Linked DNA regions of Saccharomyces cerevisiae S288C. The gene in region 1 interacts genetically with each later gene. Each region holds a gene or a part of one and is shown in the gene's direction. Other genes may lie near its edges.

Region 1 (8,264 bases):
GCATCCAATTTCACGTCCGGATAGTGCTTTATGAATGAATCCAAAATACTTAGGCCTCTGTGAAGATCGTGGTCATTAAAGTAGAATGACACTAAGATTGAAACGAGTATTTTGGAACTAGGATAGCACCCTCGGTGCTTAATTACTACGTGACTAGGAAACTCTTGGGGTGATATTTGCCATATATGTTCAATACACCGTTCCAATATTTGGGTTTGGCCTAGGTGTCCAAAGGATTGAATTAAAGTGGACAACAAATCCTCGGAATTCAAAAGCTTTTTCTCCTGCAGAGCAAGATCAGCAATCTTTAATAATGTTTGGTGATCCATGGCTTTGTAAGTAGAAGAAAGACGAATTGACGTATTTTTCGCACCTAGTCGAACCATTTTTCTTAAAAAACCTTGTTTTTGCTCACTATTATCTGGTATTTTCCAATAAGGCGCCAAAGCGCCACAACGCAGTTGTAAAAAGTGAACTATTGTGCTAATATCTGCATTTTTCGGAGACAGTAATATATCAGGATTTCTATCAAGAATAAAGCTTAAAATTTTTTGAGCCTTACCTAATTGACCGAGCTCTATAAAGTTCTTGATCATAAGATTTGCATCAAATATTTCACATGCATCTAGTTTCGTATTCCGTAAGTTAACTTGGTTTCTCTTGGCATCAACTTTTTCTGCATATAAGGAAAAAAGTTTGAACCAAAATTCTGAATATTTAGCGTTTATGTCTCTACAGATTCTCCTAATTTGAAACCGTTGTGTGTATAGTTTGCTCAAAAGAAAAGACAGGTCCTCTAAAGACAGAACATCCTTCGGTTCAGGGTCCACGGTTTTCGCGAATAAGTAACTTATACTCTTGGAAAATTCGGATTCATCCATTCCACTCGAGCTGATAATTCGTTTTAATGTGTGAACATCTATAGGTATACCTTTTGCCTCGAATTTGTCATAAGCGCTCCCATTATTTTCATCTTTTGATCGATCAATTGCACATACCGTGTGAGTTGAATAGGATTTTTTGATTAAAATATCATTTATGACAGCCCTACCCATTACATACGTTCTTCGGGGATAGACAGAATGACATATTGTGCTATTCGGCAGTACACCAAATTCACGCAGCGATTTCACTGATACAGTGCAGAGCCTCTTCGTGTAAAACCTCAGAACACTGTAGGATGGATGTTTAACCAGTCTATTTATCCACATTAATCATAAATTTAGGTAGTGGACTGTTAACGAAGGAGAGCTTCGTTAATTTGTTCTTGATTTTACATATTCTTTTCATTAGCCAATGTCTGAAGGGCTCTTTTTCAATGAACCTTTTCTGTTCAGGATAAACGGTAACCCGCTCTTTTTCTAATAAAAACTGACGTTATTTGATATTAAAATATACAGTGACATTGCGAGTAAACATCTCAGTATTGCCTAACTCACTACATTAAAAAGCTATTGACGCTGTTCAGTGTTGCTCTTGAAGGGTTAACGTTGCGTCCTTTCAAGTGGGAAATCAATTTTGTCAAGTGTTTTCTTACAATAAGCTTACTGATGTCCGGTAACTCCGACGTAAGCATCCATTCTTCAGTATATTTGGTACAAAGGATACTTAAGATGACACCGATTGACATATCAGTACCTGTATTGCAGCATATTAGCATTGGCTTTATTTTTTCATCTCGATTTGTAAACAACGATTGAATTTCTCCATGGATTCTAGGGAATGTGGATCGTAAAGCTTTTGAACTTTTCTTGTCTCCGCTTTGCAACTTGTATATTGAAATAAACGGATCTGTCCCACTTTCTTCTTCATCGTCTGTATCTTCAGCAACAGTCACCGAATTACTGAAAATTATAACTTTACCATATTCTGACTTCAATTTCTGTTTCAAATTCTTATTGATGGTTAAGCCTGAACTCACTTTTCCTAGAGATATCTCATTCGTAATTTTATCAATGTTTCCAAAGACTTCATCCAAGCTTCCTTTATCTTGTATATAACACTGATTTCTCAGCTTTGCAGCAGCCAAATCCATGATGTAATCATGTAACTGGTCGTCTGAATAACTTGCGTCGCCTAGGTATTCTATATGGGCCCAAAACATATTTGAATCCAAACCAAAAGACCAGAGCTCGTGATCGTCGGCTGCACCCTGCACATAAGTGAAGCCGTATCTTTTATCCATACCATCTTGTGCTTGATAGCTTACCGTGCACAAAATAATGGGTATTATGTTTTGGTCTTCAGGTGTTTCCCAGGCTTCATACTCCTGTACTTCACCCGTGAAGTAATCAACAGAATGGTCTAGAAGTGAAGAACCAGGGTGAACCCATATGGGCCGCAATAACTTACCCATAAACAGTTCGTTCAATTTCTTAGAATCTATAATATTCAATTTTTGTAGTTTAGCAACTAGTTCGGGTATTTTTCGCTTAATCATGTCATATTCTGATTTGGGAACTGTCTCAGGTGGAAGATACAGTACCTTATCGATGGCAACATTTTTTTCTGTTTCCTGAAGCATTAACGTATTTAATACAGCACACCATATGGGGACAGTCTTACTCAAAGCATCTGGGATTTTTTTACCTCTTCTAGTACTATCGACAATTATAATACCTTTATTATCTCGAATGGTCTCTAACAAATGAAAGTTCAATCTTCGGGTGCTAAAGTCCCATTGGTTGACATGCCCGTCTGTGCTCTTAAAGTAACTGGTCTGTTTGAAACTTGATGGATTACAGTACCATAGCCCACATCTTTCATTGGGTATCAGTGGATAATGGGGAAATATAGGGATAACTCGATCTTGCAAAAATTTATTGTCTAAAAGAATACTCTGAAGTCGATTCCTTACGGACTTGTTTTCCTTTCTGATGTCTTTATTTATCTGAGATAGCGAAAGATAAATATTTTCATCCATCACGGATATACTAAACTGTACTCTGGATCTATATCTCTTTGATAGCCTCGATACCATCCATCAAGAGATCAAAATTTTCAAGCATGCTTTTTTTTTCCTGCATATGAACAATGAATAATGGGCCCAGTCACAGTTAAGCAGTAATAAGAACAAAGCACATAAACATACAACGCATATATGAAGAGCAATAGAGTGGTGGGATGATTTTAGAAGTTCATTTTTGATGAAGATGATAAGATTATGTAATAGCGGCTATGCTAAGCTCCCTTCGGGCATGGAAATCAACAAAAAAGTTGTAACCGTACATAATATGACGGGAAATGCAACAAGCTTTCCAAGAAGTAATGGAAGGCATAGCTAAAGGACTATCTGGCTCGGCCATAAGTTTGAAATTTGTGTATACAGGTATAGGAAACCCTTATACCTACCTAAATCGTCGAAGCTACTGATATATTGCGTATAGTCGATATGCCCAATGTAATTCATATTTCATACTCTTCTCTTGTACAGATTAAGGGCACCTGTTTTATTCTTAGAATATACTACAACCTGCCTACTAATTAACAATGATACTATTAACGGTGCAAAACCGGATGCTCAAATTTAAAGTGATTACTCAGTTATAAACACGCCTGGTGTGAAATTAACGACCATTAATAAGAATAAATATTACTGGCATATTATAATATGCGGTGGAAAAACATAAAATAAGGATTGAGAAATAGTTATCAAGTATAATGGAAGCTGAAGTGCAAGGATTGATAATGTAATAGGATAATGAAACATATAAACGGAATGAGGAATAATCGTAATTTTATTATGTAGAAATATAGATTCCATTTTGAGATTTCTATCCTCGAGGAGAACTTCTAATATATTCTGTGTACATAATATTATATAGCCTTGATCAACAATGCAATCCCAACAATTATCAAATTATTCACCCAATATTCAGTATAATCCATATTTATAGAATATATAGGATAATTATCATCCCCTCAATCAAGTTGATATTCCGTTTTGACAACAGGTCACTTCTGCAAGGTTGCTTATATTAAAATTGTGAATAAGCATGATATTAGACGGACTCATAATTGAATGGTTATCAGTTAATTGACTCTCGGTAGCCAAGTTGGTTTAAGGCGCAAGACTGTAATTTACCACTACGAAATCTTGAGATCGGGCGTTCGACTCGCCCCCGGGAGATATTTTTTTACTTTTGATTACCTTAATTTTTGAAGATTCTCAATTTCATGTATTAGGGATTGCTTTAAGGTAGCTACCAAATGACATTCTCTGTATTACTGTTCTAGTTTTCAACAGTAAAGCTATGATTTGTTAAGTGACTCTAAGCCTGATTTTAAAACGGGAATATTATGCGCTCAGTCACTAATGCATTTGGCAATAGTGGAGAACTTAACGATCAAGTGGATGAAACAGGTTATAGGAAGTTTGATATCCATGAAGGAATTTTGTTTTGCATTGAACTATCAGAGACAATGTTTAAAGAGTCCTCTGATCTAGAGTATAAATCACCATTGTTGGAAATTCTGGAATCACTAGATGAGCTAATGTCACAATTGGTCATAACAAGACCTGGGACAGCTATTGGTTGCTATTTTTATTACTGTAACAGAGAGGATGCCAAGGAAGGTATCTATGAACTTTTTCCATTAAGGGATATAAATGCTACATTTATGAAGAAATTGAACGATCTTTTAGAAGATTTATCATCGGGGAGAATAAGCCTATACGACTATTTTATGTTTCAACAAACTGGGAGTGAAAAGCAAGTGCGCTTATCTGTATTATTCACATTCATGCTTGACACTTTTTTGGAAGAGATTCCGGGTCAAAAGCAATTAAGCAACAAGAGAGTGTTCTTATTCACTGACATTGATAAACCACAAGAGGCGCAAGATATCGATGAACGGGCAAGATTGAGAAGGCTTACAATTGATTTATTTGATAACAAAGTGAATTTTGCAACTTTTTTTATTGGCTATGCCGATAAACCATTTGACAACGAGTTTTATTCGGACATACTGCAGTTGGGTTCACATACAAATGAGAATACTGGTTTGGATTCTGAATTTGATGGTCCAAGTACAAAGCCTATAGATGCTAAATACATCAAGTCCAGAATCCTAAGGAAAAAGGAGGTAAAGAGGATAATGTTTCAATGTCCATTAATCTTGGATGAGAAAACAAATTTTATAGTCGGAGTCAAGGGTTACACTATGTATACCCATGAAAAAGCTGGAGTCAGGTATAAACTTGTTTATGAGCATGAAGATATCAGACAAGAAGCATATTCAAAAAGAAAATTTTTAAATCCTATAACAGGAGAAGACGTTACTGGTAAAACTGTCAAGGTTTATCCTTATGGTGACCTCGATATCAATCTATCAGATAGTCAAGATCAGATAGTAATGGAGGCTTATACTCAAAAAGATGCGTTTTTGAAGATTATTGGGTTCCGTTCATCGAGCAAATCGATACACTATTTCAATAACATAGACAAAAGTTCGTTTATCGTACCAGATGAAGCAAAATATGAAGGTTCGATAAGAACCTTGGCTTCTTTATTAAAAATTTTGAGAAAAAAAGATAAAATTGCAATATTATGGGGGAAGCTTAAATCAAATTCACATCCTTCACTATATACGTTATCACCCTCAAGCGTGAAGGACTACAACGAAGGATTTTATCTCTACAGGGTTCCATTCCTAGACGAAATTCGAAAATTTCCTAGTTTACTATCCTATGATGATGGCTCTGAACATAAACTAGATTATGATAACATGAAAAAAGTAACTCAAAGTATAATGGGATACTTTAACTTGAGGGATGGATATAACCCATCCGATTTCAAAAACCCACTATTACAAAAACATTACAAAGTTTTACATGATTACCTGTTGCAAATTGAAACCACTTTTGACGAAAATGAGACACCTAATACTAAAAAAGACAGAATGATGCGTGAGGACGATTCTTTAAGGAAACTATATTATATACGAAATAAAATTTTAGAATCTGAGAAGTCAGAAGATCCAATCATCCAAAGGCTAAATAAATATGTTAAAATCTGGAATATGTTCTACAAAAAATTTAACGATGATAACATTTCGATAAAAGAAGAAAAGAAGCCCTTTGATAAAAAGCCGAAATTCAATATATAAAGACGATTGAAATCCTTCATATCTATAACGTTACATACAATATTTGGTAGGGTAGGGTATTTGATGTAATATTTATTATTAAGAACTTTTGTCGTGCTAAACGTTGTACTGTACAACTATTAGCAAGATATTTATGCACGACAGTAATCTATAGTTGTAACTCTAAATCACACACCATAGACAAATGATCACTTGCATATTCTCCAACATGTGGTTGTCCATGCTTTGTCATTTCATTACCGGGCGGCATTCTCAAAAAACCTCTGCATTTAACTTTATTTTCTTTTTCAAAATCGCCAAGGGTTTCCACTTCCTGACAATTACTTTGTGGGTCCCATTTCTTTACATAAAATAGATAGTCTAATAAACCACGCCAAGTGTTTGCCCAATTTGAAATTTCAGGCTCACCTCTATCATTATCAAGACCTGCATTTTCTGGATGAACATTCTTATACCCAACAGAGTATAGTGAAATAGCCCTCATATCCAATGAGTTATGGAGTTGTGCCATTTTATCTACGAGTTCAGACTGTTCTTCATTAGCATGAAATTTTTCAGGAACGGGGCTCTCAGGTTGATCTTTACCATATTTTTCAATATTCCCGCCTTCTTCGTCATCTGCACCTTCTTCGCCATCACGGACCTTGGAAAACTTATATGAAGTGCTGCACCCAATGACGGTCTTTGCCCTGTTTCTATAGTGCACTGGTTTGGATGTCATAGATAAATATGGTGTGTCGAACGGCTGGGAATTAAAATCACCACAGAAAAAAGGAAACCAATGAGATAAATCCCCATCATTTTCGTTCTGTAAAACATTCACACGATGCATGAATTCCTTCATCTTTTTTAAAACAATATAGCATTGTCTTGTTCGTTCATAAGTACCAAATGGATGCCAAAATAGATGCGTAGTGCCGATCAAGATACCGCATTTTTTAGACGATTTTTTACCCAAATTCGACAGTACTTTCTCAGAAAACTTCAAGGCTAAGACTAATCCCACGTTGTTTGTCGTTGTTCTAGTGGAAATGCTTTCTGAACTTTCTTTATCATAGTCGATTAGCATTTTGTCAACCTGGTGAAATAATTCTCTCCTCCACATTATCGCGACACCATGGTTTTTTGTAGCATTTCTATAATATTGTCCATCGTATCCCAATTTACTGAATTCATCTTTCCAAAAGCTTTGAAACTGAATATGATCAATCTCTTGCAAACAAATGACATCGGAATTATAATATTTAAACTCGTTTAAGAGAACTTTAGAACGCCTGTACCATTTTAAAGCGTCACCACTATCCGGGAACAGCTTTCTGCGGATTAGAGCTTGCGCCAAGCAATTATAAGTCATTAGCTTGAATCTAAATCCAGTTACTGGCTCTGCCTCATGTAGAGATAGGAAAGGTCTTCTGATAAAATGCAGCTCTGGCGGGCAGTCCGGATCAACACCTTGAGCCAACATTGCATCTCTTTTAGCCTTTCTCATAACTTCCCTTTCGGCACGAACCTTAGCGATATGTTCTGGGGTCACTATGGGCTTCGATTTTTTACCTTTCTTGCCCTTCTTTTTATGTTGAAGTAACGAATCATCATTGGTTTGATGTTTTGCATCTTTTACAGATTTATTAATTTCTACTTCTTGGTCGGGCGCAACATCTGGGGCAACCACTTTGACTTCTTTGTCTTGTGTCATATTTACTTAATACTCTTAACTACAATTAAGAAGCTATAAGGAGACTACAATCTCATCTTCTTGCAACACTACTTTTCCTTTCCTCTTGCTTTAGTGCAACCATTTTTTGAAAAATGAATGGTCTTTCTGCACGAAATATCTCTCGAAGAGCTTTTCTAGATATTAAGGATAAAGTATATCATCCCAAAAGTTAGGTGATGGAATCAATATTGATGGACCAGCTAAAACACGTTGAAAGCAGATATCAGGAATGGTGTTTTACAAAGTCACGTTGAGTAGGTCGCTTATCGGTGTGCCACACACAACGAAGAGCATTGTCAAAAGTTTGGGTTTAGGTAAAAGAGGGTCCATAGTCTACAAAAAAGTAAACCCGGCCATAGCTGGCTCCCTAGCTAAAGTAAAAGAGTTAGTCAAAGTAGAAGTAACAGAACATGAATTAACACCATCGCAGCAACGAGAG
Region 2 (5,080 bases), on another chromosome or scaffold:
TTTGATATTTGATGAAGCTGATAAATTGTTTGACAAAACATTCGTTGAACAGAGTGACGATATTTTGAGCGCCTGTAGAGAGCCATCGTTGCGTAAAGCGATGTTTTCTGCGACCATTCCATCCAATGTAGAAGAGATTGCACAAAGTATAATGATGGATCCTGTTAGAGTTATTATTGGCCACAAGGAAGCAGCAAATACAAATATTGAACAAAAATTAATATTTTGTGGTAATGAAGAGGGTAAACTAATTGCTATTAGACAACTCGTTCAAGAGGGTGAGTTCAAGCCACCGATCATAATATTTTTAGAGTCTATTACAAGAGCAAAAGCGTTATATCATGAATTGATGTACGATAGGATTAACGTAGATGTGATTCATGCAGAAAGAACAGCCTTACAAAGAGACAGGATTATTGAACGATTTAAAACTGGTGAATTATGGTGTTTGATCTGTACCGACGTTTTAGCTCGTGGTATTGACTTCAAAGGTGTCAATCTGGTCATCAATTATGACGTTCCAGGATCGTCTCAGGCTTATGTTCACAGAATTGGTAGAACAGGTAGAGGTGGGCGGTCAGGTAAAGCTATCACATTCTATACTAAACAAGACTCAGTAGCTATTAAACCAATAATAAATGTCATGAAACAAAGTGGTTGTGAAGTATCTGAGTGGATGGATAAAATGGCTAAAATGACCAGAAAGGAGAAAGAAAGTATAAAAAACGGTAAAGCGCATAAAGAAAGAAAGCAGATTACTACTGTGCCTAAGATGGATAAGGCCAAAAGAAGACGTCAACAAGAAATGATTGCAGCATCCAAAAGAAGAAAAAATGAAGAACTTTCAAAAAAACATTTCTCGAAATAATATAAACAAACGTGCGTATGCAAGACATGTATATATGATTAGTAGTTTTTTTTATTTACTTTCATTGATCAATTACGTGACCAGCTATACATTTCTTCATTACTTCTTCTGGGCATTCTATTTAAATCGATATTTCCAAACGACTTTGTCATTGCTGCATAACCCTTTTGATAACTATCGTTTAACCCCACACCTCTGTAAGATTTCGATTCCACTCCATTATGTATATTTCTTCCAGAGTTAAAATGCTGCTTGTAATCTGAATTTTTTCTCTGGAATAGAAGTTCATTTTGATTTTCAAATGACATAAAAGGTTTTGTTTGATGTATATTGTTAGGGTGGAAAAAATAGGGTGTTCCACCAGTTATGGAGTTTTGTAGTTCTGCTTTTTCTCCCCAAAAATTTGATGTATTGGACGTGAAATCATAGGTTTCCTCGAAAGACTTTCCGTTTCTTTTCAATCCTAATGGGGGAGAAGGGCGGTTATCTATTGGCAAAAGTGGATTTCTAAAATCCCTAATGGAAGGTAAATTTTGACTTTCAGGTTGATTGGAGAATCTACGAACTGCTAGCTCTCTATTTAGCAAAGAGTTTTCTTGCATATGAAAGAAGTTTAAATCATTCAAAAGTTCCCCCAAAATTTTGAGCTCATATTCTTCATCCAAGTCAATATCTCTGTATTCCAAGAATTTCTTTTGCATTTGAACTGCGTCGTCAAAAAATGGAACACTTGACAAGCAAATGTCAATCTCTTTTTTAATGTATGTAAGCAAGTTGGTTTTTAGAAAACTCACCTCTAATTGTGTTTTGGTAAACGCTGTTGTGGCAGCTGAATACTCGGTTGGAGCTGAATTTGGCCTCTGTCCCTTGTATGGTGAAGTGGAAATATTCAATTCCATGACCGGTTCCTTTATTTCTTCTAATCCGCTTGTAAAATGAAAGGGCTGCATGTGTTTAGTTTTGTAACCTTCTGTATTACACCAAAAACTTTCCCAATTTTTAAATTGACACTCTTTCAAGCTTGGACTAGAGTCCGGAGCCAGTTTTAAGCCATCATTAAAATCGTCCGTGTGTTCAGATCTTTCGTGTATATCTTTATTTTCATGGAATATGTTGCTTGCAGTCCCCATTTTAGATGACTTTTCTTCATCTTTTTGGGACTTCTGTTTTACTGGACTATTTCTTTTACTTTCCTTACTAGTATTGCCATCTTCTTGAGAATCCATGTTAGGATACGCAGGCAAATCTGAATGGATGTTATTTGGAAAGTTTTCCTTTTCTAATCCATTTAAAAGAGTGCCAGCTCCCATCACTCAACCAATTCAGCTCTTTCCTTGCCAATACAACATAACCGGGAAGAGTTTCAAGTTTGACTTCCAACTAAATACCTAATGTTTTATTGTTGTTATTTATATTTCTTGTGACACAAAAGAGAACATTGATGTCATTTGAGCCTTATCGTTGGAAAGGATAAATAAGCGGTTTAAAAGGATAAAAGAAGCGCAAGCAACAAATCTCAACACAAGTGTAAACCATATGAATGGGGTTAAATGCCTTCTTCTTTGAGATATAAAAAGGAAGTAGAATTTAATATATTAGACATTTTTTTGATTTGAGCCTAAAAAAGATAGCCCTGTAGGGGGCTCGAACCCCTAACCTTATGATTAAGAGTCATACGCGCTACCGATTGCGCCAACAAGGCTATTTCGTTGAAAAATTCAGGCTTCAAAATTATTATATGTATCAAAAATATTTTTTTGAGAAATTTCAAATCATTATCTACGCTAGCCTTACTATTTTTTCACCCAGAAGATAGTAACCTCATCGCACATACCTATTGAAGCTGATAATATTTGAAGCGAGAGCTTTATTCTTCTCCTCAAATTTTTTTTTTCTTCTGCGCTGTTAACTTACCACTAAACCTGTTTCCATTTTTAATGGTAGTCCTGTTTATTATTCCATTTTTAGAATTGTATGTACCTTGGACGACATTTTTTGGCAATGACATCGAAAGCACTGTTTGATACCAAGATCTTAAAAGTTAACCCGCTATCAATCATTTTCTCCCCTGATGCGCATATAGATGGTTCCTTACCAACGATAACAGATCCTGAAACGGAAGCAGCGCTAGTTGAAGCGGCGAGGATAATAAGAGATACAGATGAGACTGTGGCTTTTCCAACCGAAACTGTTTATGGTCTTGGAGGTTCTGCTTTAAATGATAATTCAGTGCTTAGTATATACAGGGCCAAAAATAGGCCTAGTGACAATCCTTTGATTACACATGTTTCATCCATTGATCAACTTAACAGAAAGGTCTTTAATCAACCGCATCTATCAGGTACATCCTTGTTTGATAACATACCCTCAATCTATCGCCCATTAATTTCAAGCCTTTGGCCTGGCCCATTAACAATTCTTTTGCCAGTTCCATCTTCAGAGCATAGTGCATTATCAAAGTTAACGACCGCAGATCAGCCTACGTTTGCGGTACGCATACCCGCTAATCCAGTGGCTAGAGCACTGATTGCCCTGAGCGATACACCAATAGCTGCTCCTTCAGCGAATGCGTCTACTAGGCCATCTCCTACTTTAGCGTCTCATGTTTATCATGATCTAAAGGATAAAATTCCCATAATTCTTGATGGCGGAGCGTGCAAGGTTGGTGTAGAAAGTACTGTTGTTGATGGGTTATGTAATCCTCCTACGCTACTGCGACCTGGCGGTTTTACATATGAAGAAATTGTTAAATTGGGTGGTGAAGCTTGGTCTCTTTGTAAAGTTGAGAATAAGAAAACAGTTGAAAAGGGCGAAAAGGTAAGAACGCCTGGTATGAAGTATAGACACTATTCCCCTTCAGCTAAAGTTGTTTTACTAGTTCCTCATTGCGAAGGCGATGGCATTCTTAAGGGCGTTGATAGGATGGAAAGATTAAAGAGGTTAATCGAAACGGAATTAAAAGCCAACAGTAATATAAAAAAAATTGCGATTTTAACTTCCCTAAAATTACGTGATTCCGACTTACAATCTAAGATCTTTAATGAACCCGATTTTTCTTCGAAAACTTTCATCATCGAAAGACTTGGCCAATCTGGTGAAGAAATACAGACTAACTTGTTTGCAGCTTTAAGAAAAGTGGATGAAAATGATAAAGTAGACCTAATATTTGTCGAAGGTATAAATGAGGAAGGAGAAGGATTAGCTGTTATGAACAGATTGCGAAAGGCGGCTGCAAATAATTGTATACAGTTTTAAATAAAACTGTGATTAACTTTTGAAAATCATAACCACTGATTACGGAGATTTTATATCTAGTCCGGAAAAAGAAGGAAAGAATAAAATTTTATATTGCTTTGTATATACGAAAAGTCGCCCATACATGTTTATCTTAGTATCCGTTGTAAATATATGTACATATATACATCTACATATGTTCCCATTAATTAGTACATTTACCTCAATAGGGTTGGGCGTCCTCATGAAAGATAAAGGGAAGGAAGGAAAAACGATAAAAGCACAAAATGTGACATATCAAACATTTGAGAAATACGTTGAGTCTTCTTCATTCTTTTTCCTCGTCCACAATTTTCTCAATTCATCAACGATGAAAACGCTACTGCTGATGAGCAATAACAATAGTATATCAGAGATACCAAGTTTCTCAGTTTTAAAGATACTTTGGAAAAATGGTATATATATAGCGCACATTTGACCTAACAGAGACAGTCCAACGGCGTAGTTGAACATTTTGTTCGTGAAAAAGCCGATTTCGAAGATTGACTTTGTGTTATGTCTGCAGGCCAAAGCATTAAACATATCAAAAAAAACAAAACAAGTAAATGTCATAGTAGTATCTCTAGCAGTTACTTTACCATCTTCGGCCATCTCTTTAACAAAAATGTAAACTGTCCCAACGATGATACAGGCCGCGGTGGTTAGTAAACGTTTCATTACATCATGGGTCAAAATTTTATCGGTACGTTTTCTTGGAGGTTTTTTCATAACTTCATGATCAACAGGTTCCACACCTAAGGATTGAGCTGGTGGCCCATCCATTAAAATATTTATCCAAAGAATTTGCATTGCGTTCAGTGGATTGGGTAGTTTAAACGCTGTAGATAGTGCAACTAATGATAGTGCGGCAACAGAAGTAGACAATTGAAAAGTCAGGAAATTCTGAATATTATTAAAGATACCTTTACCCTCTTCAAT
Region 3 (9,252 bases), on another chromosome or scaffold:
GGAATAGGAGCCGGTGAACGGCCGAGACTGGTACCTAGGCCTATTAACGTACAAGACTCGGTGAACCGACTAACGAAACCGTTCAGGGTCCCGTACAAGAACACGCACATCCCGCCCGCTGCTGGTAGAATCGCCACCGGGTCTGATAATATCGTAGGAGGAAGGAGCTTGAGGAAAAGATCAGCGACTGTATGTTATTCCGGCTTGGATATAAATGCGGACGAAGCAGAGTACAACAGCCAAGACATAAGTTTTTCTCAGTTGACTAAACGACGGAAGGATGCTCTTAGTGCTCAAAGGTTGGCCAAGGATCCGACAAGACTGAGTCATATCCAGTACACTTTGAGAAGATCTTTCACTGTGCCAATCAAGGGATATGTACAAAGACACAGTCTGCCATTAACGTTAGGAATGAAAAAAAAAATTACTCCAGAACCTCGACCTCTACATGACCCTACAGACGAATTTGCCATAGTGCTTTATGACCCGTCCGTTGACGGTGAAATGATTGTCCATGACACATCTATGGATAACAAGGAAGAAGAATCAAAGAAAATGATCAAAAGCACACAGGAAAAGGATAATATTAACAAGGAAAAGAATAGCCAGGAAGAAAGACCCACACAAAGAATAGGACGCCATCCAGCTTTGATGACAAATGGTGTGAGAAACAAACCGTTACGTGAGCTACTCGGTGATTCGGAAAACTCTGCGGAAAACAAGAAGAAATTTGCTAGTGTCCCTGTGGTTATTGATCCAAAACTGGCCAAGATTTTAAGACCCCATCAAGTCGAAGGGGTGAGATTCTTATACCGTTGTGTCACAGGGCTTGTCATGAAAGATTACTTAGAAGCTGAGGCGTTCAACACTTCAAGCGAAGATCCCTTAAAGAGCGACGAGAAGGCACTTACTGAATCTCAAAAGACTGAACAAAACAATAGAGGGGCCTACGGCTGCATCATGGCCGATGAAATGGGGCTGGGTAAGACATTGCAGTGTATAGCACTTATGTGGACATTATTAAGACAGGGCCCGCAGGGTAAAAGACTTATCGACAAATGTATCATTGTTTGTCCATCTTCTTTAGTCAACAACTGGGCTAATGAATTGATAAAATGGTTGGGTCCCAATACTCTAACTCCGTTAGCGGTTGATGGGAAAAAATCTTCAATGGGTGGTGGTAATACAACAGTTTCGCAAGCTATTCATGCCTGGGCTCAGGCACAGGGAAGAAATATTGTTAAGCCCGTTTTAATCATATCGTATGAAACATTACGTCGAAATGTTGATCAATTGAAAAACTGCAATGTGGGTTTAATGCTGGCAGATGAAGGGCACCGTTTGAAAAACGGTGACTCTTTAACATTCACAGCTTTGGATAGCATCAGTTGTCCTAGAAGAGTTATATTATCTGGTACACCCATTCAAAACGATCTTTCCGAATATTTTGCTCTACTGAGTTTTTCGAATCCTGGCTTATTAGGTTCCAGAGCAGAATTTAGGAAAAATTTTGAGAATCCAATTTTGCGAGGGCGTGATGCTGATGCTACTGATAAAGAAATCACAAAGGGCGAGGCGCAATTACAGAAGCTATCTACCATTGTCTCCAAATTTATTATCCGTCGTACTAACGATATTTTGGCCAAATATTTGCCTTGCAAGTATGAGCACGTTATTTTCGTAAACTTGAAGCCGTTGCAGAACGAGCTCTACAATAAATTAATTAAGTCAAGAGAAGTGAAAAAAGTAGTAAAAGGTGTTGGTGGGTCTCAGCCCCTGAGGGCTATTGGTATTTTAAAGAAGCTATGTAATCACCCTAATCTCTTGAATTTTGAAGATGAATTTGACGATGAAGATGATTTGGAACTACCTGACGATTATAATATGCCGGGTTCAAAAGCCAGGGACGTACAAACAAAATATTCAGCTAAATTTTCCATTTTGGAAAGATTTCTCCATAAGATAAAGACCGAATCCGATGATAAGATTGTTTTGATCTCCAACTATACCCAAACCTTGGACCTCATTGAAAAAATGTGTAGATATAAGCACTACAGTGCTGTACGGTTGGATGGTACAATGTCAATTAACAAAAGACAAAAATTGGTGGATAGGTTCAACGATCCTGAAGGCCAAGAGTTCATCTTCCTCTTAAGTTCTAAAGCAGGTGGGTGTGGTATCAATTTGATTGGTGCAAATCGATTAATTTTGATGGATCCGGATTGGAATCCTGCTGCTGATCAACAAGCTTTGGCACGTGTTTGGAGAGACGGTCAAAAAAAGGATTGTTTCATTTACAGATTCATATCGACTGGTACCATAGAGGAAAAAATCTTTCAAAGACAATCTATGAAAATGAGTTTGAGTTCATGCGTGGTCGATGCGAAAGAAGACGTTGAAAGGTTGTTTAGTTCTGACAATTTAAGACAGTTGTTTCAAAAAAATGAGAATACGATATGTGAAACACACGAAACATACCATTGTAAACGTTGTAATGCTCAGGGTAAACAATTAAAGAGAGCCCCTGCAATGTTATATGGTGATGCGACAACTTGGAATCATTTGAACCATGACGCATTGGAAAAAACAAATGATCATCTACTAAAAAACGAGCATCATTACAATGATATCAGTTTTGCATTTCAATATATTTCACATTGATCTCTTACATACATGTACTTATAAAACAAAAACAAAAAGTAGAATTCGATCGTCGGGGGGTCATTACATATTTATTTTAAATGATGGGCATGGTTATATATATTTAGACGTAATAAACAATTGAAAATTGGGGCCAAATTGGTAAATATCTCTATGTATTTCAATCAAAAAAGTATAATCGTATAACTTAAGGGTAAAAAAAGTTGAGCGATGTCATATTATACTTGTGCTAGCTTTTAAATTTTTCATTATCTTCAGTTTTATCGTGGTAAAGTGCCAGCCGAAACTGCCAAAAAAGATTATGGCAAGAAAATCTCACGCTGTCAGGGAAATAAAAATCTGATACAGTTTCACACTCTCAGAAGGATTAACTTTAACTATTACCTAACACCAATATCTGAAGAGAATGGATGAAATTCTTGCCAAAGCAGGTTCACAAGCCGTTACATTTGCTATAAAATCCGGAATATCGATAGCATCCACATATGCGCTAAAGACAATAACGAACTTTGTCGTCCAGATTCCTAAGGATGATGCTAGAAGAATAGATCAACTGAAATTTAAACTGGAAAGCCGCATGGCTATTGTATCCAGTGCAATTGACCTAATAAAGCTGGTAGCGGCGAGGGGAAACACGAATTTGCAAATCACTCTGAGGTTAACCAAGGATTTAAAAGAAGAGATTGATAGGTTTGATGAGAAGATCAACGAAATGACGCAGAAAGTTGAGGGTTCCAGGAGCGCAAAAACACAGAATGAAGCTATTAAAGCGGTAGAAAACTATATAAAGGACTTGCTATTGAGGATCGAAGAAATCACTCCATTCATTAATCTTTCTTTAACCACTTCTGGTGCCAACTTGAACAGCGCACTCCCATATCAACTTTCTCCTGGTTTATTATTAAAAGCCTCCGATTTCGTTAGCGAGAACAATAGAAAGTATGAAAAGGCAATGAAGAGTAATGAGAAAGGAACAGGTGACAAGGAGATTCTAAAAGTTCAAGTGGGGCCTACATTTGAGGTTACACTATTCTCTATTTTCTATAACCTAACTTCAGAAAACAATGGGCAATCAGGAATTGTTTGGAAAGAGGATATGAAACGTGCAAAAGCAAGGATATATAGATTGAACTCTACAGGCAGAAAGTATGATTATTTTATGAAAATAGAACAAGACTTCAATGACGGTAGATATCATGAGGATGATGACAAAGAAGACACACCACAGGAACTTGCCATAGATCTGAACCATATTAAGAAGCTGTTTTTCAGTGTTTCCGGTAAGCTTCTCCGATTAGAAGAACAGGATTCTCCAGTGTTGGTATTGAAGATTGACCGGAGCGATGACAAAGAAAATGAGAGCAGTGAAGGAGACAAGGGATTACTCGATGACATTACTTGGTATGCGGTAAGCGGATATGAAGCGATAGAGGAAGATGAAGAGGAAGATGAAGAGGAGGACGAAGAGGAAGGAAAAGACGGAGAAGAACGAAAGGAAGAAGAAGAAGAAGAAAATAAATTGGAGGACAAGGATTCGTCGATCACACTACTGGAGTACATCATTCGGCTGACGTCCTTACAAAGTAACGATCAGAAAAGTATATTGGAAGTGAGTGATGAAAGGTTATCTATATATTTGAACGATGAAAATACGAACTCCAGAAAGGATAGAATAAGCAATTCGACAATTGAAGAGACAGAAAAAAAGTTAAAAAACCTAAAACTTTAGGATGGTTACGTATCCTGTGCAGCCTTGGACAAATTTTATAATTGTATATATCTATGTATATGTATACGAATGGAAAAATTTATCCGAATCTCGGCCCGACTGCCAGCTTGCCGGGAGAACAAACAACCGCCAATATATGTATATGTATATTTATATAGATGTCCAGATGCATTATTGTGAATGTGAGTTATGCGAAGATACTTGTTTGTATAGCTCGTTCAACTCATTGATGGAGAATGGAATGTCAATATCGTTTAGTGCTGTGTTCGTAGTTGTATATGCGCTTCCTGTTTCATTGATACTAACAGGTTCCATAGATATACTAGGGCTTTGCTCAAGCGGATCGAGGGAAGCCAAATCAAGATTGTCAATGCTGTCGGCCTTAATTTCTCCGTTTTGCAGAGGTGGCTTCAAACTCGGCAATGTGGTTGTCATGTCTACATCCGACGAGCGACCATTTAGGCCCAAAAGAACGTCCAGATCTGCAATACCGAGACCATTGACATGCGCTGCTTCATCATTTGCCCTTCTGTGGCATGACCCTCCCTTTGATTTCCGGCTGCTTTTCCTCTTGGTATGACATTTACAAGGTTCACCCTCATCACAACGACATCGTGTTTCATCTTCCTTGCTGCCAACAGCTGGCCGTCGTGCAGAGGCACACATGCACCCACCGGATGGGTTGAAGTTCTTGGTTCTTCTCAGCTCTTTACAATGGCCACATGTGGTCGATGGTCTTCCCTTGCGTCTGATCATCTGTAGCGGACCATCAGTGTGAGTACACTGCGCCGCCCTGTGACCCCTGATACACGTTTCACAGGCATATTTGACCCCGTTAATTACGACCATTCTGTGAATACACTGATTATCAGTCCTCTTTTATCAAGCCGCCGTCTAATAAATTACATCGCCATGGCTACTGCTATTTCGTCCACAGCTTAATACTTACCGAACCAGGCCTTGCGGCTCTTACCCTGCGTGCCCGCGCACCCTGGCGACTTCGCCTCGTTTTGGCGATTTTCTTAGCAAATATTCTTTCACGATCGTAGTGGTGGAAGGTGGGTGAAAAGAGTTGCGTTCCTAGCAAGGATCGGTTGGTATCAATTGCACGTTCAGCTCATCCCTAGATAACCACTTAACAGCAAAGCCGATCGTTAAACTTTTGTATTCTACATTCTAGTTGCATTTTTTTTTTTTTTCATTTTGTTACATCAAGACAAGATTCTCTATTTAAAGAAGTACTTTTTTTGTTAACAGTGTGGACCCTACCTATCGTTATATCGAGATCTTGTTCCCTAGGCCATCGTACACTATAGCCCTTCCTTCAAGCACTTAATAGAAAAACCTCTTTTTCTACACCATCATAATAGTGTTTGCTCGCCCCGTTCTTTCCATTCCCATTTATAACAATACTAGTAACTATAATAATATCCTTACGACTGGGCAAGACAAGACGAAGCAAGGCCAGCACAGACGTAAGCTTAAGTGTAAGTAAAAGATAAGATAATTATGAGTGACAATCCATTTAATGCGAGTCTTCTTGACGAGGACTCAAACCGTGAGAGAGAAATACTAGATGCCACAGCAGAGGCCCTTTCGAAACCAAGCCCTTCTTTAGAGTATTGTACTTTATCCGTGGACGAAGCTCTAGAAAAACTGGACACTGACAAAAACGGTGGTTTACGATCATCTAACGAGGCCAACAATAGGAGATCACTTTATGGCCCCAATGAAATAACCGTAGAAGATGATGAAAGTCTTTTCAAGAAGTTCTTGTCAAATTTCATTGAGGATCGAATGATTCTACTTTTAATAGGATCCGCAGTGGTCTCTCTTTTTATGGGTAACATTGATGATGCTGTTAGTATCACACTGGCCATTTTCATAGTTGTCACTGTCGGTTTTGTCCAAGAATATAGGTCTGAAAAATCTCTAGAAGCGTTGAATAAATTGGTTCCTGCTGAATGTCACTTAATGAGATGTGGTCAAGAGAGTCATGTACTGGCTTCCACCTTGGTTCCTGGTGATTTAGTGCACTTCAGAATAGGTGACAGAATCCCCGCAGACATTAGAATTATTGAAGCAATCGATTTATCCATCGATGAAAGTAATTTAACTGGTGAAAATGAACCGGTACATAAAACCTCACAAACGATCGAAAAATCTTCCTTTAACGATCAGCCTAATTCAATTGTACCGATTTCTGAGAGATCTTGTATAGCTTATATGGGTACATTAGTCAAGGAAGGTCATGGTAAGGGTATCGTCGTAGGAACAGGTACAAACACATCCTTTGGTGCCGTTTTTGAAATGATGAATAATATTGAAAAACCGAAGACTCCATTGCAGTTAACAATGGACAAATTGGGAAAGGACTTGTCACTGGTTAGCTTCATAGTTATTGGTATGATTTGTTTAGTTGGTATCATACAAGGTAGATCTTGGTTAGAAATGTTCCAAATATCGGTATCCTTAGCGGTTGCTGCTATTCCAGAAGGGTTACCAATTATTGTCACTGTTACTTTGGCATTGGGTGTTCTGAGAATGGCCAAGCGTAAAGCCATCGTGAGAAGGTTACCAAGTGTCGAAACTTTAGGCTCTGTCAACGTTATCTGCTCCGACAAAACAGGTACACTAACCTCAAACCACATGACCGTATCTAAACTTTGGTGCTTGGACAGTATGTCCAATAAGCTAAACGTCCTCTCATTAGACAAAAATAAGAAGACTAAAAATTCTAATGGAAATTTGAAAAACTATTTGACTGAAGACGTTAGGGAAACTCTAACTATCGGTAATCTCTGTAATAATGCATCTTTCTCTCAAGAACATGCCATATTTCTGGGAAATCCTACTGATGTAGCTCTTTTAGAGCAATTGGCAAACTTTGAAATGCCTGATATCAGAAACACCGTTCAAAAAGTTCAGGAACTTCCATTTAACTCGAAAAGAAAATTAATGGCAACCAAGATTCTCAACCCTGTCGACAATAAGTGTACAGTTTATGTTAAAGGTGCATTTGAAAGAATTCTTGAGTACTCCACAAGTTATTTGAAATCAAAGGGTAAAAAAACTGAAAAGTTGACTGAAGCCCAAAAAGCTACGATAAATGAGTGCGCAAATTCTATGGCATCTGAAGGTTTGCGTGTCTTTGGATTTGCTAAACTAACTTTGTCTGATTCATCAACTCCTCTAACCGAAGACCTAATCAAAGATTTAACCTTTACTGGTTTAATCGGTATGAATGACCCACCAAGACCGAACGTTAAATTTGCCATCGAACAATTACTACAAGGTGGTGTCCATATTATTATGATCACTGGTGATTCTGAGAATACCGCAGTAAACATTGCAAAACAAATTGGTATTCCAGTTATTGATCCAAAGCTTTCCGTTTTATCCGGTGATAAATTAGATGAAATGTCAGATGATCAACTGGCCAATGTCATCGACCACGTTAATATTTTTGCTCGTGCTACGCCTGAGCATAAGTTAAACATTGTTCGTGCATTAAGAAAGAGGGGTGATGTGGTAGCAATGACTGGTGATGGTGTTAACGACGCTCCTGCGTTGAAACTTTCAGATATTGGTGTTTCTATGGGTAGAATTGGTACAGATGTAGCCAAAGAAGCCTCAGATATGGTCTTAACTGATGATGACTTCAGTACTATTTTAACTGCCATTGAAGAGGGTAAAGGTATCTTTAATAATATTCAGAATTTCCTGACTTTTCAATTGTCTACTTCTGTTGCCGCACTATCATTAGTTGCACTATCTACAGCGTTTAAACTACCCAATCCACTGAACGCAATGCAAATTCTTTGGATAAATATTTTAATGGATGGGCCACCAGCTCAATCCTTAGGTGTGGAACCTGTTGATCATGAAGTTATGAAAAAACCTCCAAGAAAACGTACCGATAAAATTTTGACCCATGATGTAATGAAACGTTTACTAACCACCGCGGCCTGTATCATCGTTGGGACAGTTTACATTTTTGTTAAAGAGATGGCCGAAGATGGTAAAGTAACTGCTAGAGATACTACTATGACATTTACTTGTTTTGTTTTTTTTGATATGTTTAATGCTTTGGCCTGCAGACATAACACAAAGTCAATCTTCGAAATCGGCTTTTTCACGAACAAAATGTTCAACTACGCCGTTGGACTGTCTCTGTTAGGTCAAATGTGCGCTATATATATACCATTTTTCCAAAGTATCTTTAAAACTGAGAAACTTGGTATCTCTGATATACTATTGTTATTGCTCATCAGCAGTAGCGTTTTCATCGTTGATGAATTGAGAAAATTGTGGACGAGGAAAAAGAATGAAGAAGACTCAACGTATTTCTCAAATGTTTGATATGTCACATTTTGTGCTTTTATCGTTTTTCCTTCCTTCCCTTTATCTTTCATGAGGACGCCCAACCCTATTGAGGTAAATGTACTAATTAATGGGAACATATGTAGATGTATATATGTACATATATTTACAACGGATACTAAGATAAACATGTATGGGCGACTTTTCGTATATACAAAGCAATATAAAATTTTATTCTTTCCTTCTTTTTCCGGACTAGATATAAAATCTCCGTAATCAGTGGTTATGATTTTCAAAAGTTAATCACAGTTTTATTTAAAACTGTATACAATTATTTGCAGCCGCCTTTCGCAATCTGTTCATAACAGCTAATCCTTCTCCTTCCTCATTTATACCTTCGACAAATATTAGGTCTACTTTATCATTTTCATCCACTTTTCTTAAAGCTGCAAACAAGTTAGTCTGTATTTCTTCACCAGATTGGCCAAGTCTTTCGATGATGAAAGTTTTCGAAGAAAAATCGGGTTCATTAAAGATCT
Region 4 (8,297 bases), on another chromosome or scaffold:
GCGAAGTGCCAACTATAGCCCAATATCAAGAATGCAAGTCAGCAAAGTACAGTAATCGTATGAAGATACGCGATGCGTAATATCCCTCAAGGGCTCCGGATCAGAAAAGCTAAGGGAAGATCCTTACATTACACGGCGTGCGACAGACTCGAACCACAGCTAACTTCTCGTGAAAAGATGGCTTCAACTTCGCTCTTGCAATAACTTTGAAACACACGAACAAAGGTTTATTGCGCTTGATTAACGTTGGAAGTATATGATACTAATACTACTTTGTTCTCTAAGTCATCGCTATATGTTTATCTCGAGGAAAAGGTGCACGGCGGTACACAATTACTTCGCCGTTTCGGGTAAAACAAGTGTTACATTTATAATATATATGTATATATGTATGTGCGCGTAAGTATATGCCGTTCATAACAAATCATCTTCTTGTTGCTGGATGGACTCCTTAATTTTATTCAAAATGGTAATTTTCCATTTATCTAGTCTCATAAAATTGTCAAACTCCTTACAGTGTTCGCTTAGCTGCTCGCTATCACCTTCATTAACAGCATCGATTAAACTTTTCAAGAAATTTGACTCCCTTGAATCCGCAAAATTCGGATCTTCACTTTGACCCTCTTGTAAAGTTCTTGCAGCAGCGACTGCATCAGTAGCAGCTAGCTGACAAAGCCCTTTTTTTAGGAAGTAATCCTTCAAACTCCATTGGCTCAATCTATTGCCCATGCTGCTCTTGATCAACTTCGAATATATATCACTTGCTTCAATATATTGACCGTCAAGAGCCTTTAGATCTGCGCATTTGATAAAACACTTATTCGATAATGCTACCGACTGGTCTTGGGCATACCACTCACCAGCGAGCTCATAGCAATCTATAGCTTTTGCATAGTCATGCAAATCATTTTCTAGAATTTCTCCAAGCTCAAACTTGAAATTAGCACCTCTCCGGAACTGCCCCCTATGAGTAAAAATTTGAATAGCATTTTCTAATGAATCCACGGCGTTCACAGAGTTTCCACCGCTTTTAAAGCATTTATAAGCCTCTACGTAGGTATTTCCTGCTTCGTCTTCATTACCAGCCTTTTTCTGATAGTCAGCAGCTTTCAAAAACGAGTCTCCTGCCAAGTTTAACTCTTTTCTTAGACGGTAAATGGTGGCTGCTTGGACACAAAGATCAGCAGCCTCCTCAAACTTGTATGAATCAGAACCGCTAAACAATTTCATGAAACCCGATGAAGGAACACCCTTCTTCTCAGCCTTAACACAACGGGAAATATCAATTCCCGTATTTCAATGTTAGTAATTTGCCTTCGTAAATTACGGAATCACATAGCTTTCATTTTGTTCCTTTGATATATTTCCCTACTACATACTCTTTTCAATAACTCTACAGGGTCTGACATTTTTAACTTTCAGGTTAATGATGGTGTTCTTACTATATTCTCGAGTCGTACAGAAGTTAGTTCAGATAAACTGCTTCGGTGCTGCCCACTTCTTATCATTACTTCAACTTTACCTTCCCTATACCTGTGTGTCCTTATTAATTCAAGTTAATCCGAGGTAATAGATTAGGGTAACCTTCAATGATGTCACGAAACACGGATGCTGCAACTTTGCGATTTTTTCCTGGAAAAGAATAACAATTAAAGGCAGCCTTTCAGCTGAGATTACCAGCAGGTCTTTGGAGATTAGCGCAAGAAGAAGTGTGATATAGTACTCATAGAGGCAGGCTACAGACTAGGGAAAGCGTGTTCAACAACAATAAGAAATGGAGACCAGTTCTTTTGAGAATGCTCCTCCTGCAGCCATCAATGATGCTCAGGATAATAATATAAATACGGAGACTAATGACCAGGAAACAAATCAGCAATCTATCGAAACTAGAGATGCAATTGACAAAGAAAACGGTGTGCAAACGGAAACTGGTGAGAACTCTGCAAAAAATGCCGAACAAAACGTTTCTTCTACAAATTTGAATAATGCCCCCACCAATGGTGCTTTGGACGATGATGTTATCCCAAATGCTATTGTTATTAAAAACATTCCGTTTGCTATTAAAAAAGAGCAATTGTTAGACATTATTGAAGAAATGGATCTTCCCCTTCCTTATGCCTTCAATTACCACTTTGATAACGGTATTTTCAGAGGACTAGCCTTTGCGAATTTCACCACTCCTGAAGAAACTACTCAAGTGATAACTTCTTTGAATGGAAAGGAAATCAGCGGGAGGAAATTGAAAGTGGAATATAAAAAAATGCTTCCCCAAGCTGAAAGAGAAAGAATCGAGAGGGAGAAGAGAGAGAAAAGAGGACAATTAGAAGAACAACACAGATCGTCATCTAATCTTTCTTTGGATTCTTTATCTAAAATGAGTGGAAGCGGAAACAATAATACTTCTAACAATCAATTATTCTCGACTCTAATGAACGGCATTAATGCTAATAGCATGATGAACAGTCCAATGAATAATACCATTAACAATAACAGTTCTAATAACAACAATAGTGGTAACATCATTCTGAACCAACCTTCACTTTCTGCCCAACATACTTCTTCATCGTTGTACCAAACAAACGTTAATAATCAAGCCCAGATGTCCACTGAGAGATTTTATGCGCCTTTACCATCAACTTCCACTTTGCCTCTCCCACCCCAACAACTGGACTTCAATGACCCTGACACTTTGGAAATTTATTCCCAATTATTGTTATTTAAGGATAGAGAAAAGTATTATTACGAGTTGGCTTATCCCATGGGTATATCCGCTTCCCACAAGAGAATTATCAATGTTTTGTGCTCGTACTTAGGGCTAGTAGAAGTATATGATCCAAGATTTATTATTATCAGAAGAAAGATTCTGGATCATGCTAATTTACAATCTCATTTGCAACAACAAGGTCAAATGACATCTGCTCATCCTTTGCAGCCAAACTCCACTGGCGGCTCCATGAATAGGTCACAATCTTATACAAGTTTGTTACAGGCCCATGCAGCAGCTGCAGCGAATAGTATTAGCAATCAGGCCGTTAACAATTCTTCCAACAGCAATACTATTAACAGTAATAACGGTAACGGTAACAATGTCATCATTAATAACAATAGCGCCAGCTCAACACCAAAAATTTCTTCACAGGGACAATTCTCCATGCAACCAACACTAACCTCACCTAAAATGAACATACACCATAGTTCTCAATACAATTCCGCAGACCAACCGCAACAACCTCAACCACAAACACAGCAAAATGTTCAGTCAGCTGCGCAACAACAACAATCTTTTTTAAGACAACAAGCTACTTTAACACCATCCTCAAGAATTCCATCCGGTTATTCTGCCAACCATTATCAAATCAATTCCGTTAATCCCTTACTGAGAAATTCTCAAATTTCACCTCCAAATTCACAAATCCCAATCAACAGCCAAACCCTATCCCAAGCGCAACCACCAGCACAGTCCCAAACTCAACAACGGGTACCAGTGGCATACCAAAATGCTTCATTGTCTTCCCAGCAGTTGTACAACCTTAACGGCCCATCTTCAGCAAACTCACAGTCCCAACTGCTTCCACAGCACACAAATGGCTCAGTACATTCTAATTTCTCATATCAGTCTTATCACGATGAGTCCATGTTGTCCGCACACAATTTGAATAGTGCCGACTTGATCTATAAATCTTTGAGTCACTCTGGACTAGATGATGGCTTGGAACAGGGCTTGAATCGTTCTTTAAGCGGACTGGATTTACAAAACCAAAACAAGAAGAATCTATGGTAATATATACTTCCATTATTCTATGATTATAGAGTTTGTTTGGTATTTGTATATCGCACGATACAAGTAATGAGGGGTGCTTACACAAGATAAAAGATAAAAAAATATATATATATAATAAAAACCATCAAAAACACCATTGAAAAAAAATATAAAAAAAAAAAAAAATAACCGAATATGAATATGAAATTAATGATCATGATGAAGTTAATTTTTACTGAGAAACGTCACCTAATGTCGATGAAACGATGATAATGAATGAATGATGAGGCTACTTTAAGTAACGCAATGTAATCAAGCCAAAATTATCCCTCTTTTTTTTTTTTCCCTCTTTTGAGATTTTATTTTTAACCTACTACTTACTTTTTTTTTTTGAACGTTCTTTTCCCACATACTTTTATATATGGTATTTATATGTACGATGTTTAATCACAGAGATGTTTCTACCTTACTCGATATTGTTTTTGCATTAATTGATATCTTGCTCACTGCATCATTGGCGGTATTTGTAGTATATAGAAAGTCGGGTAACAATAATTTATTGACATTTCTTTGTTTACAATGATCAGAGAAGAGCAGAAAGTTTCATAGTCAAACGTTCAGGCCAATTGAACAAGAAATTATTCGTTTTTTTAGTCGTTGAGTGTTCAACTGACATGCTATTTTGGTGGTTCTTGATTAATTGGGGGCTTCATTGTTTGAAATAAAGAGTCGGGAAAATAGCACAGAAACAAAGCATATTAAAAGAGGCAAAAGAAGAAAGAACGAATATAAAAGGTAAAAAAGGAAAAGCATTGCTATTCTTTTCTCATAGGTGTTATTCATACCGCCCTCTCTCTTCTTCCTTCTTCATTAATTAGTCTCCGTATAATTTGCAGATAATGTCATTAACAGCAAACGACGAATCGCCAAAACCCAAAAAAAATGCATTATTGAAAAACTTAGAGATCGATGATCTGATACATTCTCAATTTGTCAGAAGCGATACAAATGGACATAGAACTACAAGACGACTATTCAACTCCGATGCCAGTATATCACATCGAATAAGAGGAAGTGTTCGGTCTGATAAAGGCCTTAATAAAATAAAAAAAGGGTTGATTTCCCAGCAGTCCAAACTTGCGTCAGAAAATTCTTCTCAAAATATCGTTAATAGGGACAATAAGATGGGAGCAGTAAGTTTCCCCATTATTGAACCTAATATTGAAGTCAGCGAGGAGTTGAAGGTTAGAATTAAGTATGATTCTATCAAATTTTTCAATTTTGAAAGACTAATATCTAAATCTTCAGTCATAGCACCTTTAGTTAACAAAAATATAACATCATCCGGTCCTCTAATCGGGTTTCAAAGAAGAGTTAACAGGTTAAAGCAAACATGGGATCTAGCAACCGAAAACATGGAGTACCCATATTCTTCTGATAATACGCCATTCAGGGATAACGATTCTTGGCAATGGTACGTACCATACGGCGGAACAATAAAAAAAATGAAAGATTTCAGTACAAAAAGAACTTTACCCACCTGGGAAGATAAAATAAAGTTTCTTACATTTTTAGAAAACTCTAAGTCTGCAACGTACATTAATGGTAACGTATCACTTTGCAATCATAATGAAACCGATCAAGAAAACGAAGATAGGAAAAAAAGGAAAGGGAAAGTACCAAGAATCAAAAATAAAGTGTGGTTTTCCCAGATAGAATACATTGTTCTTCGAAATTATGAAATTAAACCTTGGTATACATCTCCTTTTCCGGAACACATCAACCAAAATAAAATGGTTTTTATATGTGAGTTCTGCCTAAAATATATGACTTCTCGATATACTTTTTATAGACACCAACTAAAGTGTCTAACTTTTAAGCCCCCCGGAAATGAAATTTATCGCGACGGTAAGCTGTCTGTTTGGGAAATTGATGGGCGGGAGAATGTCTTGTATTGTCAAAATCTTTGCCTGTTGGCAAAATGTTTTATCAATTCTAAGACTTTGTATTACGATGTTGAACCGTTTATATTCTATATTCTAACGGAGAGAGAGGATACAGAGAACCATCCCTATCAAAACGCAGCCAAATTCCATTTCGTAGGCTATTTCTCCAAGGAAAAATTCAACTCCAATGACTATAACCTAAGTTGTATTTTAACTCTACCCATATACCAGAGGAAAGGATATGGTCAGTTTTTGATGGAATTTTCATATTTATTATCCAGAAAGGAGTCAAAATTTGGAACTCCTGAAAAACCATTGTCGGATTTAGGATTATTGACTTACAGAACGTTTTGGAAGATAAAATGTGCTGAAGTGCTATTAAAATTAAGAGACAGTGCTAGACGTCGATCAAATAATAAAAATGAAGATACTTTTCAGCAGGTTAGCCTAAACGATATCGCTAAACTAACAGGAATGATACCAACAGACGTTGTGTTTGGATTGGAACAACTTCAAGTTTTGTATCGCCATAAAACACGCTCATTATCCAGTTTGGATGATTTCAACTATATTATTAAAATCGATTCTTGGAACAGGATTGAAAATATTTACAAAACTTGGAGCTCAAAAAACTATCCTCGCGTCAAATATGACAAACTATTGTGGGAACCTATTATATTAGGGCCGTCATTTGGTATAAATGGGATGATGAACTTAGAACCCACCGCATTAGCGGACGAAGCTCTTACAAATGAAACTATGGCTCCGGTAATTTCGAATAACACACATATAGAAAACTATAACAACAGTAGAGCACATAATAAACGCAGAAGAAGAAGAAGAAGAAGTAGTGAGCACAAAACATCCAAGCTTCATGTAAACAATATCATAGAACCGGAAGTACCTGCTACTGATTTTTTTGAAGACACTGTTTCCTCCTTAACAGAGTATATGTGTGATTATAAGAACACAAATAATGATAGATTAATCTATCAAGCGGAAAAAAGAGTGCTGGAAAGCATCCATGATCGCAAAGGGATACCAAGATCAAAATTTAGTACAGAAACTCATTGGGAGCTCTGCTTCACTATTAAAAACTCCGAAACACCACTTGGAAATCATGCAGCTAGGAGAAACGATACTGGAATATCAAGTTTAGAGCAGGATGAAGTAGAAAACGATGTAGATACTGAATTATATGTAGGTGAAAACGCCAAAGAAGATGAAGACGAAGACGAAGACTTTACCCTTGATGATGACATTGAGGATGAGCAAATATCAGAAGAAAATGATGAGGAGGAAGACACATATGAAGAAGACAGTGATGATGATGAGGATGGGAAGAGAAAAGGACAAGAGCAGGATGAAAACGATATAGAAAGCCACATAAGGAAGGAGAGAGTCAGAAAAAGAAGAAAAATAACTCTAATAGAGGATGACGAAGAATAAGCGGCGATGGGTATATATTGGATATAAGCATATACATGTAACATTATTAATAGCAATAAGAACCCTTGTAGTCAATAGTATTACAGAATTCTCCTACGAATAAATTTTATGTGTATATATAAAGATATATATGTGTGTGTGTACATGTGTGGGTGCGATTAATTTGTACTCATTAAACGAATAGTCAAAACAAACTAAATTCGTCTCTTAGCTTAAAATATATTTTTAAAGATAGAATTTATACCTGGAAGTTCATCTTGCTCATTGCGTATGTCATTTGCGCTGGTCATAGAAGAAAGCTCACTAGACTTTGGATTATCATGTTTAGCCTCTAACATACCGTAATTTTGCGATTGCTGCGATGGCGTGTTAATGCCATTCTCCTTGTGCAGTGGGTCAATGTCATCCTCCTCCTCCTCGTCTTTGCATCCTTCATTTGTATGAAAACCACTTACACGTCCTTTTCTCTTTAAATAATCCATTCTTTGTTGGATTTCCAACTCGGATCTATTATTAGGCAGAACAATAGAAATTTCTAGCGGCGACAAATGGTTTTGTTTGTCCTTCGTATTGTTAAGTAGCACTTCATCATCTTCTCTAGACCACGGGTGTTTATTAGCGAATTTTTGCATATCTAAGAAAGTCCTCGTGTGCGTGATTTTGTCATTTGCGTGGTCTGTCTTGCAGTTGGGAGACGCTATGGGGTTAAGATAGTATTGGTGCTGTGGATGATAATGAACGGATTGCGATGTAGATAACCTTCTGGGTGACATATACGGGCTAACTACCAAGGAAGCTCTTCTAGAAATAGGCTCCGTAGGAGCGTGAGAGTTGAAGGATGATCTTCTTGAATGCATCATGTTAAAAGATGATCTTCTAGAAGAAATTACGGAATGCGAGTTTTTCCTAGTCTTCGTCGTTGAATGAGGGATTTGAGTTGAAGGAATAAAGGAGTTCCTTCTAGACCTGATAATAATTTTAGGCACAAGACCAATATTCTCATAATCATTGGAATTAACAGCTTTATTTGTCTTTGCTGAAGTAGTGTTATAAAGGCTTAGATTTGTCTGCTGAGCAGTCTTTACATTAGGCGTGTTGGTTGTTATAGAATGAGAGAAGGACCTTGGCTTAACAAACAGTTT

What was found.
Region 2: mutations in YKU70 (region 1) and HUR1 together harm fitness more than expected from each alone (negative genetic interaction), as found in Saccharomyces cerevisiae (4 studies listed by BioGRID).
Region 3: mutations in YKU70 (region 1) and PMR1 together harm fitness more than expected from each alone (negative genetic interaction), as found in Saccharomyces cerevisiae (2 studies listed by BioGRID).
Region 4: mutations in YKU70 (region 1) and PIN4 impair growth when combined (synthetic growth defect), as found in Saccharomyces cerevisiae (3 studies listed by BioGRID, with this or other methods).

What each region holds. Positions count from the first base shown.
Region 1 is NC_001145.3:833,888-842,151, forward strand, and holds YKU70 (ATP-dependent DNA helicase YKU70), read left to right. Parts: upstream 1-4,299; coding exon 4,300-6,108; downstream 6,109-8,264. Other genes in the region: AEP2 (Aep2p), read right to left, coding at 1-1,211; RIT1 (tRNA A64-2'-O-ribosylphosphate transferase), read right to left, coding at 1,439-2,980; NGL2 (RNA exonuclease), read right to left, coding at 6,257-7,804; mitochondrial 54S ribosomal protein uL30m MRPL33, read left to right, coding at 8,055-8,264. UniProt on the Saccharomyces cerevisiae protein: Single-stranded DNA-dependent ATP-dependent helicase. Involved in non-homologous end joining (NHEJ) DNA double strand break repair. DNA-binding is sequence-independent but has a high affinity to nicks in double-stranded DNA and to the ends of duplex DNA.
Region 2 is NC_001139.9:183,217-188,296, forward strand, and holds HUR1 (Hur1p), read left to right. Parts: upstream 1-4,247; coding exon 4,248-4,580; downstream 4,581-5,080. Other genes in the region: RNA-dependent ATPase ROK1, read left to right, coding at 1-868; SPO74 (Spo74p), read right to left, coding at 937-2,178; SUA5 (threonylcarbamoyladenylate synthase), read left to right, coding at 2,843-4,123; Ca(2+)/Mn(2+)-transporting P-type ATPase PMR1, read right to left, coding at 4,400-5,080.
Region 3 is NC_001139.9:187,116-196,367, reverse strand, and holds PMR1 (Ca(2+)/Mn(2+)-transporting P-type ATPase PMR1), read left to right. Parts: upstream 1-5,899; coding exon 5,900-8,752; downstream 8,753-9,252. Other genes in the region: DNA-dependent ATPase RAD54, read left to right, coding at 1-2,661; YRB30 (Yrb30p), read left to right, coding at 3,068-4,390; CUP2 (Cup2p), read right to left, coding at 4,562-5,239; HUR1 (Hur1p), read right to left, coding at 8,572-8,904; SUA5 (threonylcarbamoyladenylate synthase), read right to left, coding at 9,029-9,252. UniProt on the Saccharomyces cerevisiae protein: This magnesium-dependent enzyme catalyzes the hydrolysis of ATP coupled with the transport of calcium. Has a role in the secretory pathway.
Region 4 is NC_001134.8:118,237-126,533, reverse strand, and holds PIN4 (Pin4p), read left to right. Parts: upstream 1-1,774; coding exon 1,775-3,781; downstream 3,782-8,297. Other genes in the region: alpha-soluble NSF attachment protein SEC17, read right to left, coding at 415-1,263, 1,380-1,409; SAS3 (histone acetyltransferase), read left to right, coding at 4,660-7,155; TOD6 (Tod6p), read right to left, coding at 7,368-8,297. UniProt on the Saccharomyces cerevisiae protein: Involved in normal G2/M phase transition of the mitotic cell cycle. In association with RAD53, also involved in checkpoint control in response to DNA damage.